Linked DNA regions of Sus scrofa. Each later gene encodes a partner of the first gene's protein in a complex. Links are inferred from orthologs where the notes say so. Each region holds a gene or a part of one and is shown in the gene's direction. Other genes may lie near its edges.

Region 1 (3,643 bases):
GGGGAGAGGGTGGGTTTCGGATGCTCTCAGGACATGACTCCCTTGGAACTGTGATGGTGACGGTGACTGATGTGTTGGGGTTTGGGAGGGGGAGGAGGTGGCAGGGCATGGCAGAGCCCTGCCTGAGAAGGCCTGCCTCTTTTCTCTCTGCCCTCCAGTCTCCAATGGCCCCGTGGAGTCGGTCACCCTGGAGAACAGCCCGCTGGTGTGGAAGGAGGGGCGGCAGCTTCTCCGACAGTGAGTGTGTGGAGGGACGGGGTGGGGGAGGCATGTTTAGCTCGGGAGATAAGCCCGAGGACGCCACCGTCCTTCCTGTTTCCACTGGGGACCCTGAGCTATCAGGATCCCTGCCGGCTACAGCGCGATGGCCCGTCCCCCTCCCTCTCCCTGGGAAGGAGCAAGGGAGGACTTCCTGCAGGAGGCAGGCACTTTGGAAGGAGACCCCGAGTGCCTCTGTGCCTTTTTTCCTCTGAGGGTAATGTTAAAATTGTTTTTTATTGGATGTTTTAGAAAATTTGGGAAACACAAAGATAAAAGTCACTCGTAATTCCACCCCCCAAGGAGTTTCATGCCCCTGGAAACATTTTGGCACATATGCTGTCTCTTCTGCTGTGATATGTATTTGTGCCTGTGTGTGTGTTTTAGAGAAGCGAGGGTTTCTCCTTCGCAATGTTCTGTAATGTGTTGCTTTTGCTAAGTGTTGTGAACATCTTTCCATGTAAATTAGTTGTGTCACATCATTTCAAGACATTTATCATAGTTTGTCACGTGGATAGTCATAATTTCCTGTGGCCATCGCTTCTGATCTATTTTGTTGAAGATGTTTTTAATAGACATTGTGACAAATACCAGAAAATTACGTGTCCATCTCCTTGATTTCCTTAAGCTAAATATCTGTGAGTTCAATTGCAAGCTTAAGGTGTGTGCAAATGGTGACAACAGAATGATTATCACAGGGACGCTTGCCAGGTACCTGTTATGGTGCCTGGCACGTGCTAAACATTTCGCACACATGGATTCCTCGCATAAATCTCCGTGTGACCTGACTGCTAGCATTCCCCTTGTATTCACAGATGACAAAAGCAGGTGCAGAGAGGGTATCTGTTTGCTTAAGGTCGCAGAGAGGGTCTGCAGTGTGATCTCAGGCGGTCCCTCCCCAGCCCGCTTCCCTGCCCCTCCGCCTGGGACTCCACACAGGCCCTGGAGAGGAGACGGCAGGCGAAGGCGGGGGCTGTCTGATGTTCCCACAGGGACAGAGTCAGGGTCGACGGAGAGGGCTCTGTAGGCGCCTCCTGAGGACCAGCATGGGACTCTTGTCTGCCAGTCTTTTGAAGCCACAGATACCCAAAATTGATTTTTTTTTTTTTTTTTTTAAGTTTTTGGACCAATTTACCAAATGGCTTCAGGTTTTGTTGTTGTTCTTGTTGTTTTGGGTTTTTTGTCTTTTTAGGGCTGCACCCACAGCATATGGAGGTTCCCAGGGGTCTAATTGGAGCTATAGCTGCCGGCCTACACTAGAGCCACAACAACGTGGGATCCAAGCCTCATTTGCAACCTACACTGCAGCTCATGGCAACACCGGATCCTTAACCCACTGAGCAGGGCCAGGGATCGAACCCGTGTCCTATGGATGCTAGTCAGGTTCCTTAACTACTGAGCCAGGACGGGAACTCCTCTTTTTTTCCGTAAATTTTTTTTTTTTTTTTTTTTTAATAAACACTTGAGTTCTAAGGAACATGTAACTTATCCTGCGAAGCCGTTTACCATGGGCCTCTTTCTTTGGCACATAGTATCCATCAGTCGCTCGCTTCCACAGGTGGACGTGTAGCTTGGCCCCTGCGTCTGGGCTCTCTGAGCGCCTGTGACGGCACGGTGCCTCTGTATAAAGGCTTCCCCTGGAAACAGTCTCAGAAGGGAAGCAGCAGGATCAGGGGTATGCTTATTTGAAATCTCGGTGTGGCGTCTTAAATTGTTTCTCCAAGAGGGCCGTCCCAGTTTGCATCGGCCCCCAGAGTATGTAAAGAAGCCAGGAGGTCCCTTGACCTGCCCTGGCTCCGCCTCCCTGCAGGTACCTGGAAGAGGTGGGCTACACAGACACCATCCTGGACATGCGGTCCAAGCGCGTGCGGTCCCTCCTGGGCCGTTCGTTGGAGCTCAACGGGGCCGTGGAGCCCAGTGAAGGGGGCCTCAGGACTACACCGGGCCCTGGGGGACTCAGTGGCGGTGAGTCGCTGCTGGTGAAACAGATCGAGGAGCAGATCAAGAGGTGAGCCCTTGGGCCTGGTGGGTGCATCCGTGTGCGCCTTCTCCCTCCTGATGGGTTGGGGTCAGAAGGTCAACAGTGCTCTGGGAGCCACTTCCTTCCTGGAGGGTGTCGTGGGCTTCTTTGTTCCAGAACCTTCTGTCCTGGGTCCCCTGCACCACCCCTTCCCCGGTGCCGCCCTGGTGCTGGTGTGCACCACAGCTCCAGGCCCATCCCCTCCTGAGCCTCAGGCTGGTGCTCCCTGGCCCCCCCGGAGCCCCTGCTGAGGGAGACCCCGGGCCACAGAGCCCTAGGAGCACTTGTTCACTCTCTCATCACTAATCGCCTGATCAAAGTAAACACCTTCAGGGTGGTGACGCGAGGTGCCGTGTGAAAGGCAGTGAGAAAGTGACGGGCAGTCATGGCACTTGGGAGAGGGTGAGCAGGGAGCACCTCTTCTTGGAGGTGCTGTTTGGGCAGGAAGTGCATGGAACTGAGGCTCAGCCGCCCAGGTAGCTGGGAGAAAGAAGAGTGTTCTAGGCAGAGGGAACGGCAAATTTAAAGCTCCCAGGTGGAAAAGACCTGGCCTGTTCAGAGCTGGCCGAGGCTGCAGGGAGTGAGCGCTGTGGTCTGCAGCAGGGCTGAAATCTCAGGAGGCAGAGCATGTAGGGCCTCAAGGCCACGATGTGGAGCTGAGAGTCTAGGCTTGTGGGAAGCCCGTGGTTTCAAGCAGGGGTGTGACATCATCTGATACCCGTACTACTACTACGTCGTGTGCTTGTCCTGTGCTTCGAGAAGGAGGGGCTGCTGGAGGGCCCGGCGGAGACTCAGGCGTTAGCGGGGCAGGGGGAGGAGCGGTCTGCTTTCTCTTTGGGGTAGGTTTTTAGGGTGAGCCGACACTATTTCAAGGATTGGCTGTTGGGGGAGAGGAAAAAAAAGTTAAAGGGTGTGGTCTGAGCCGCTGGGGCAGTGTTGACCGAGAAGGAGAGAACGAGGGGGGATCAAGGGCCGTGGAGTTCGAGGTGCCTGTTTGACCCCAGTGCTGGGGGTGGGGAGCCCCTAACTCCTAAAGCGCCTCTAGTGCACCTGCAGTGGTGGGTTTAAAAGCCCGGGGCTTGGCAGTCACCGAGGCCAGGTGTAGCTGGCGCAGGGAGGTCTGAGCGCTGAGCCCAGGGGTCTCCCACACACGAGGAGGCCCCGGCAGCCGTGCGGGAGGCGGCCCAGGCATGACGTTCTGCCGGAGGCCGGGAAGGGAGCGCAGGATCTGGGATCCACACTTGGATCTCCTGGAGGGGCGAGCTCCACCCAGTGGCAGCCAGACACCTGGGCAGTTGACAAGGACTCTCGAGAGCCTCAGCCCAGTGGCCAAAAAGGACAATGTTTGCACATATCTCAACTTTG
Region 2 (3,743 bases), on another chromosome or scaffold:
CTGTGAACTCGTGGGGGCTCATTTTTGTTTGTCCAACCTCGCCCGCGGTGCCACGTGGGCATTCACCGGTCCTCACAACCGGGGATACGGCACATCACTGCAGTGGCTGCCACTGTTTGTCGTTGTAAATAAAATACTACTTTCTGGAGGCAGCACTGATTCATTCCTTCTTATTTCTTTCCTCTGTAGTTGGAGGAGAGGTGTCTAAAAGGTGGAGGCAGCGGAAAGAGCGGGAGAAGGCCAGGGGAAAGTCTAGACAGGGTTTCCTTTCATTGTGTCCCTTCCTCCTCCCCCTCCCTCCCCCACTTTCCCCTTCTCGGGGGCAGACGATCCCCTATTGTAATTTACATATTCTTAAATTTGCATATTCTCCGGGGCCCAGAGAGGGTGGGGTTCAGCCCCCCACTCCTCAGCTAAGTTTACAGCTCCTAGTATTCCAAGCAGGGTGTTTTCAAGTCGCCAAAACGCGGAATTAACTACTCTCGGCCTCTCCCCTCCCGCTTTCCTCCTTGGGTTGGTTGGAAACTTCACCCAGACACCAAGAAGCTCCGCCCTGGTAGTTTTGAACCGGCCACTGGCTGAGGCCCCGCTGGGCACGCTCCCTCTCGAGGTCCCCCTGGCCCCGACTCTGCCCCCGGAGAGGTCGCCGGGAGCCCGCTTCCCCGGGGCCAGGCGGGGAGGGGTGGGCTCGCGCGGAGGGCAGGAGGGAGATGGTCTGGCAAGAGTTGGCACTCAGCGAGCCCTGGCCGCCCAGTCCCCCGGGGCGCCCGACTGGCCGGGGCCTGGGGGCGGTCGCCCCGGGACCGCCTTCGATTGTGTCCCCCTCCCCACTCCCGCCCGCGCGCCCTCTTCCCAGCTCCGCCCCGCCGGCTGGGAGGGGGGCGCAGCCCGCGGGAGACGCGCGGACCCCCACCCGCCCGGGCCGGCGGCAGCGCAGGCGGCTGCGGCCTAGGGCGCCCGGCGGCCGCCAGCCTCCTCCTCCCCCTCCCGGAAGCGCGGGGCGGGGTCCCCGGCCGGGCCGCGGGGGCGGGCGCGGGGGCCGGGCCGGGGCGGGGCGCGCTCGGCGCTCGCAGGCTCGGCCGGCTGTGCGCGCCCACTCCGGCTCCAGGCGGCCAGCGCACGGGCCCAGGCCGCCGGCTCCCAGCCGAGAGGCAGCAGCAGCCGCCGAAGCGGCAGCGGCGGCGGCAGGAGCGGAAGCAGCTCGCGGCGAGGCCCCGCGCCCCTGGCAGCCCCTCCCCGGCGCGGTGCATGGAGACGCGGCCCGCCGCCGGCCCCTGAGCCCGCCGCGCGGCCCGGGACCCGCGGGGGCTGGGGTGGCCTCGGGCTCCGGCCGGCCCACCGAAGCCGGACTCGGGCTTGGCCGGCCGCCCCCGCCGCCCGAGGGCTGCGCGCGGCCCGCGGGCCTCGTCGCCCGCGCGGATCGCCGCGGCCCGGCCGTCCCGTCCCAGGAAGTGGCTGTCCTGACCGCCATGGCTCACTCCCCGGTGCAGTCGGGCCTGCCCGGCATGCAGGTAGGCAGGAACCCGGCTGCCGAGGGCAGCGAGGGATGCCCGGGCCGGGGCGGAAGCGGGGAACTTGGCGGTGTAAACACGGCCCCCTCCCCCTCCGCTGCCCCTTCCGGGGTCGCGCCGGCCTCCCGCGCCGCGCTCGCAGCCCCCGGGGCGCCCCGAGCGGCCCCGCGGCCTGGGTCTCGGGGGCGGAAGGGTGCAGGGAGCTGGGGCCGCGGCCTGGAGGCGGCCCCGGCGGGCAGGGGGTCGAGGGGGCCGTGGGGGTGCCGGCGCTTCGCCCTGCCCGCGTCCTCTGCCCCCGGCGCCTCCCGAGCCGCAGGCCCCGCGCCGGCCCATCCCCGGGGAGAAGTGATGTGGGGAAATGCCCTTGGAGGCCCGGCTCGCTCTCTGGGCCCCGGCGCGGGCGGCGGGCGCTGGAGGCCCCGGGCCGCCCCGGCGAGGGGGCAGTAAAGTTGAGAGGCGGGAGGGGAGCCCCGGGCGCGCCCCGACTGGTCCGGGGCCCGCGGGGCGGCGGAGGCAGGGCGGGGTGGAGGAAGGTGTAACTGCCAGCTCCACTTCCAGCGCGTTTGTTCGGCGCGTTTCCTCCTGGTGCCGACGGAGGGGAAAGTGCGAGCCCGTAAACCTTCCGGAAGAAGGGATCCTTCGAACCCCGTGCCCTCGAGGGTGGATCCCGGCACGCTGGGCTTTGCCTTGGATGCAGCCCAGTCCCTTCCCAGTAAACCTCTCCGATGCTACTTGGTGGCTCCTTGGCCTTCCAGTGACTTTTTTTGGAGTGGGGGCAGGGGTGCGGGGGGTGGGGGCGGGGAGAGAAGTTGCATTTCCAATTTACAGGACTGCGTGCAAGTTTTTCGCCATGGGGGACTGTTTAAAAACTCTTTGAAAAATAAAACCCCCGTCCTTGGCCAGTTTGTAATGTTTGTAAGGGCATATAAATGGTGGGAGAATGGTTGGGATTAAAATCTCACTATACGGTTAGGGTATGTGGGTAAAGTTTTGCATTCCCGGTTTAGCCAAGCGAGTTGGGACACACCAGCTTTAAGGAAACAGCCACAAGTCTCCCAGCGGATTATTTATCTTGAGACTTTCTACGGGCTCGTTTTCCTCTCTCCCCCTCACTCTTGAGGCCTGAGAAGTTAGTACCTGGACTCCATAGGACCTGGGAATCTGCCCCCCTTTTGGCGAGAGATCATTGCTCTTTCTCTCTCTTAAACCAGAAAAAGAAAACTCGATTTCATTGTTCGCGATTGCTGGCTAGAAAAATAAGGGCACAAAGTTACCAGCATTTTAGAGTTTTGTTTTTTTTTTTTTTAAATGGAGTAACAGTTTACGTTAATAACCTGACTGTGCTTGAGGAAAACTGTCCTTGACTCTGATTTAAAGAATTTTTCAATGCAACGTGCATTTACCACCTAAGCTTCTACTGACTGCTAGGTAAAAATCGGATGTGGTTTCTTGGTATTTCCTAAAATTCCTGCTTTTGTTGGTTTGAATTTAGAGGCAGGAAGGCAAACTGAACTGGGTGAAAAATTATTTCTGACCAGCAGAGCAAGAAGGACCTCTTGTAACATTAAAAAAAAAAAAAAAAAAAAAGCATTTGCTCAATGCTTTCTTTAGACTGACTCTTAGGCTGTTAATCAGGTTGTAATCTAGCTCGCACGCCTCACTCAAAGTACCTGGGGGGTGTTCGGCTTTTGTGGAAAGCGAACCAGTTTAAAAAGGAACTTAAGGCCCAGCTGGCTGGTGCCCTGAAGCCAGCATCAGATGGTCACCAGGTGGTCTGTGGTCTTAAACACTTTTTTGGTCCTCATCTTGTTTTCAAAGCATGGGCCCACATTCTTAAATCTGGGGGAAAAAAAGGAGGTACCTTGCTTTAAATAACTCTGTCTCCCAAATGTTATTTCCTAGGTAGCGTTACCAGGGAACTGTTTTTATTTTGCTTTCTCAGAAAAGCTGTTAAGTTTTTATGTGGATGAAAGAACCAGATTTTCGGCTGTTAGAGTTTTAGGGGCGCGAAGGTGGCGTCTGACCGAGTTCGCCCTGTGTTTAGAAGTGTCTGCACACACTGTAAGGTGATGGGTTTTGGTGCCCTTGGGGGAGGAACATTCCTTTCCTCTCCCTCCCTTAAACTTCAAAAGGAAAACAACAGGCACATTGAGTTTCTACTTTGAACCAGCGGCTGCTCCTGCCCAGGGAGGCCGTCCTGAGAGGTGTCGCGGAGGGTTTAAGGAAATGCGC
Region 3 (3,743 bases), on another chromosome or scaffold:
GAGCTTGTCTCCCTGCTGGACTGGCACGTCAAGTGGGATGGAGGCAGGGGGCTGCCAAAAGCACTGAGTTCAATAATACTACGTACTGCTAAGGACCCAAACTCGTTTCACATGCCTCTATTACCCTCATTCATTTCTCTGCCCATGTACCACCTGTTTTCCAATTTCCCTCTCTCTTACACGTGCAGAACTGACCTTGTGCCCAGGCCTGGTCGCCCTCTCCCACAGCCTCGCACCCCTGTCCAACCGAGAGCCCAAAAGGTAGGGGAAGCCTCACTTCTAAGTCACCTGAAGCTTGTCTGGGGGCGGGGAACCCGGAAAGCCGGAGGGTGGCTACCGACCCGCCCAGAGGCGCGGCCCCAAACTGGGGAGCCCAGACCTCGGGTTAAGAGCTGGGGTCCAGCGACTCGGCGGCTCTCTGCACCCCCCGGCCTCGAGCAGATCGGAGAGTCCGGAAGGACTTCCAACACTCGCCAAGTTTCAACTCAGGACTTCTCCGAGGCGGCGTGCGCCCCAGCCCTCGCACGCCCGCCTGCAACGTGGCCGCGTCCGGGACGCCCTCGTACCCCAAGGGTCACCCGAACTCTTCCTTTCTCTCTCCAGGCCGACCAATGTTCCAGGCCCCTCCGTGCCCGGCTTCTCCTCTCCGCCGGCCGGGAGAGTCTCCCTCGGCTCAGGCTCCAGCAACCCCAGCCGAGCCCCTTCCCAGCGCGGAGCCCTAGCTCTCCTGACACCGCCCGGCAGCGGGGCGGGGGCAGGGCCAGCGGCGGAACCGCCCCCAACCGCCTCCCGGGCCCGGCCAGCGAGCGGGTGGCTGGGGCGCCTCCACCTCCTCTTCCTAAAGCGGCGAGGCGCAGACGAGCGGCATCACTCGAGCCCAGGTCCCGGCCACCGCCACACACGGCGCCCGGCGTTCAGGAAGAGGAGCGGCAGCGGAGGCGGCGGCCACAGCGGCGGGCGGGCACCAGAAAGGTAGACTGAGTCCCGGGGAGCCGCGCCGCGGACCGCCCACCTCCCAGCCCCGGGCCGCGCGCGCTACCCGCCCCGTAACCCCACTTGTGTGTGTCCTTCCAGGCCCGGGTCGAAAAGCCTGGGAGGGCCGCCGACCTACCCCCGGAGGAGGAGCCAGTCGGAGCCCAAGGCGCCACCGCCGCCGAAGCCGCGCGGAGCAGCTTTCGCCTTCATGGCCCACTCACCGGTGGCGGTCCAAGTGCCGGGGATGCAGGTGAGGACGCCCGGGCCTCCCCCGCCGTCCACGTGACTGCCCGGGAGCCCAGGGTGCACTCCACGCTGGGCACCGGCGAGGACAGGCGGCCCAGGGCTGCCTCGAAGCCGGGCCGGTCGCTCCGGCCAGGTGACGGGGAAAGAGGGTCTAAGTGTTTCCCGGCGCGCAAGCTAGGTGGTGCACTGCGCGGGGCAGGCGCGCGCGGAGGGACCGGGGCGCGCGGCGAGGTGGGGATGCGGCGGGGGGCTATAAAAATAGGCCGGAGCCGGACACCTGCGCTGGCTGAGCGTGATGCGCTTGGGGGTCGGAGGTGGGAGGACTTCACGTGGGAGAGATGGAGGCGTCTCGGAATTTGGGCATAAAACGCAGGTCGTGCTGCCCCCCCCCCCCGGACATACACACACACACAAACACACGAGTTGGGGCGGAGCAAGACCAGGGGTGTCGGTGGTGGCGGCTTTGAATTAGGCTCTTCCTGTGTGCGTAGGGCGAAGAGAGGTGACTTCTTTTCCCCTTTTGGTGCTGCTGCTTAAGTTGTATCTCGCTCCCCCCACCTGGCCCAGCCCCTCGTGTGGCGTGAGAAATGCAGGGTCCTCTGTTAGCAGAGCGGAGGTGATGACTCCCCCGCTCCCTCCCTCTGCGGTTCCCACAGCACGACTGTTACAGTGTGGTTAAAGGAAACTTTTTGTCCTAGACAGGGCAGGGGACCCAACTTTTCACTCGAGAGCTACCCAGCCTCCCCTTATATTTTCACTTTATTAAAGAAGTCAGCGATGTCCGTACGCTTTTCACGCTATTTTATCTTTTTAAATCGGTGCATTTCAAGCTCTCTGCTAAATGTAATCCAAGCTTACTTTTACGCATTCGAATTTTCTTTTTTTTCATAAACAACCCGTTTATGAATCGGTCGGAGACTAGCATCGACAGCCTCATTATCTTCTAAAAATGTGAGGACAACCTTTTTCCAAGTTCAGAAAAGAATGTTTGGTAAATAGCTTATGGTTCTAGTAGAAATCAAAGTGCTGTGGATTGGGGCCTCAAATTACCAATTGATGCAAGGAATGTATCTTTTTAAAAAAAAAAAAAACAATTGGTCGCATTTTATGCATGGTCCAAAAAGTGCTTTTTAAAATACTTTCTCTCCCCCCCCCAAAGGACCATTTGTGTCGGACATAGATCTAGCCTGGGACTCCTGTGTGTCTAGGCACCAGGCCTTTTAGCTGAATATAGGGCACGTCTGGGTTGAGTCCCAGGAAGTCGGTGTGTATTTAATAAAAACAAAAAATAAATAAGAGAGAGAGAGAGGAAGAAGAAGGGAAATGAGAACTATTGGGGCCTTTGAAAAGGTTAATCCATTCAAGTTTTACCAAACGCCTCAAACTTCCTTCTTCTCAGGCCACCCCCCCTTCCCTCCCTCTCCCCCCCCACCCCCAGCCCCTCACCCCATTCATTCAGTCTGCCTTTGATTGTACCCAGAGAATTAGTAGTTTGCAGGACTAACTACAGTTTTGCTCTGTCTCATGTGGGAGAAAGTTCGAACGTTTTCCCACCATGCTCTCCTTTCCATTCTGTGAACTTTACGGATGTCAGGTTTGTCCCTGAGGGTCCCCGTGCCTGCTCAGGCCATTGTGTGCACGCGCTGCCTGCGTCAGCAGAGCGAGGGCCTCCCTTTGATCAAGTTTGTGATCCTGGGGAACTCTGGTGTGCGGGGGAGAAAACGGTTTCTGGTCTTTATTTCATTTGTCTTGACTTTATTTGATTTCTATGGTTTCTGGTCCTTATTTGATTTGTCCTCATTTGATTTATATGGTTTAGGAACTGCTTGCTGCTCAGTATTTCTTTCGGCTCCCTGCTTTGTTTCATTATCTTGAGGTCCCTATCAGCTGAATTTTGCACCCTTAATTAAGGTGGTTTAGAATGTGAATCACATATTTTTAAATTACGAATTCTGCCTGTCACTTGATGCCTTGCCCCACGTTGTGACTCCTGTGTCCACCCTGATTTGGGGAGGGCAGGCATCTGGATATTAGCAGGAAAAGAGAGGAATATTTATTTGTCACTTTCCCTGTCTTAATGAAATGGTAAATTCGTAACATCTGATTTCCATTTTCTTTGTAGATGTGGTTCTTAAGCATTGGGTGCAACCCAAAAAGTTTTCCACAGTTAAAATTGTGGAGTACCCTAAAAATAAATTTGATGGCATGCAGTGTGACTCTTGAGCCTTGATCACGTTGACTATTCTTTTGTTGAAAAAGATTGCAGATGAGATGCAGAAATATATGATGAGCTTGTAAAATTCTCCTGGAGTTTTGTTAGCAAGTTAGGAGCAACTTTCAGACCGTTCCAGTAGTAAGAAAACTGAACGTAGCCATGTGTGCTTGAAATTAATGTATAGTATTTCCACAGATCAGGGCGAAGTGGTCGACCGGCCTATAACTTTTTAACAGTTTATTTTAGAGACTTATGAAGATTGATGGGAAAAAATGACTTTTCCAGAAATAAAAACAGAATTACTTTA

Evidence for each region.
Region 2: STRN4 (region 1) and STK24 share a complex: the UniProt entries of both Homo sapiens proteins name them as parts of the core of STRIPAK complex. The link is inferred for Sus scrofa from reciprocal best matches to the Homo sapiens genes STRN4 and STK24.
Region 3: STRN4 (region 1) and STK26 share a complex: the UniProt entries of both Homo sapiens proteins name them as parts of the core of STRIPAK complex. The link is inferred for Sus scrofa from reciprocal best matches to the Homo sapiens genes STRN4 and STK26.

Annotation. Positions count from the first base shown.
Region 1 is NC_010448.4:52,614,381-52,618,023, reverse strand, and holds part of STRN4 (striatin-4), read left to right. Parts: intron 1-158; coding exon 159-237; intron 238-2,068; coding exon 2,069-2,266; intron 2,267-3,643. UniProt on the Homo sapiens protein: Calmodulin-binding scaffolding protein which is the center of the striatin-interacting phosphatase and kinase (STRIPAK) complexes.
Region 2 is NC_010453.5:67,562,957-67,566,699, reverse strand, and holds the start of STK24 (serine/threonine-protein kinase 24), read left to right. Parts: upstream 1-1,057; 5' UTR 1,058-1,469; coding exon 1,470-1,511; intron 1,512-3,743. UniProt on the Homo sapiens protein: Serine/threonine-protein kinase that acts on both serine and threonine residues and promotes apoptosis in response to stress stimuli and caspase activation.
Region 3 is NC_010461.5:108,178,337-108,182,079, forward strand, and holds the start of STK26 (serine/threonine-protein kinase 26), read left to right. Parts: upstream 1-893; 5' UTR 894-972; intron 973-1,074; 5' UTR 1,075-1,183; coding exon 1,184-1,225; intron 1,226-3,743. UniProt on the Homo sapiens protein: Serine/threonine-protein kinase that acts as a mediator of cell growth. Modulates apoptosis. In association with STK24 negatively regulates Golgi reorientation in polarized cell migration upon RHO activation.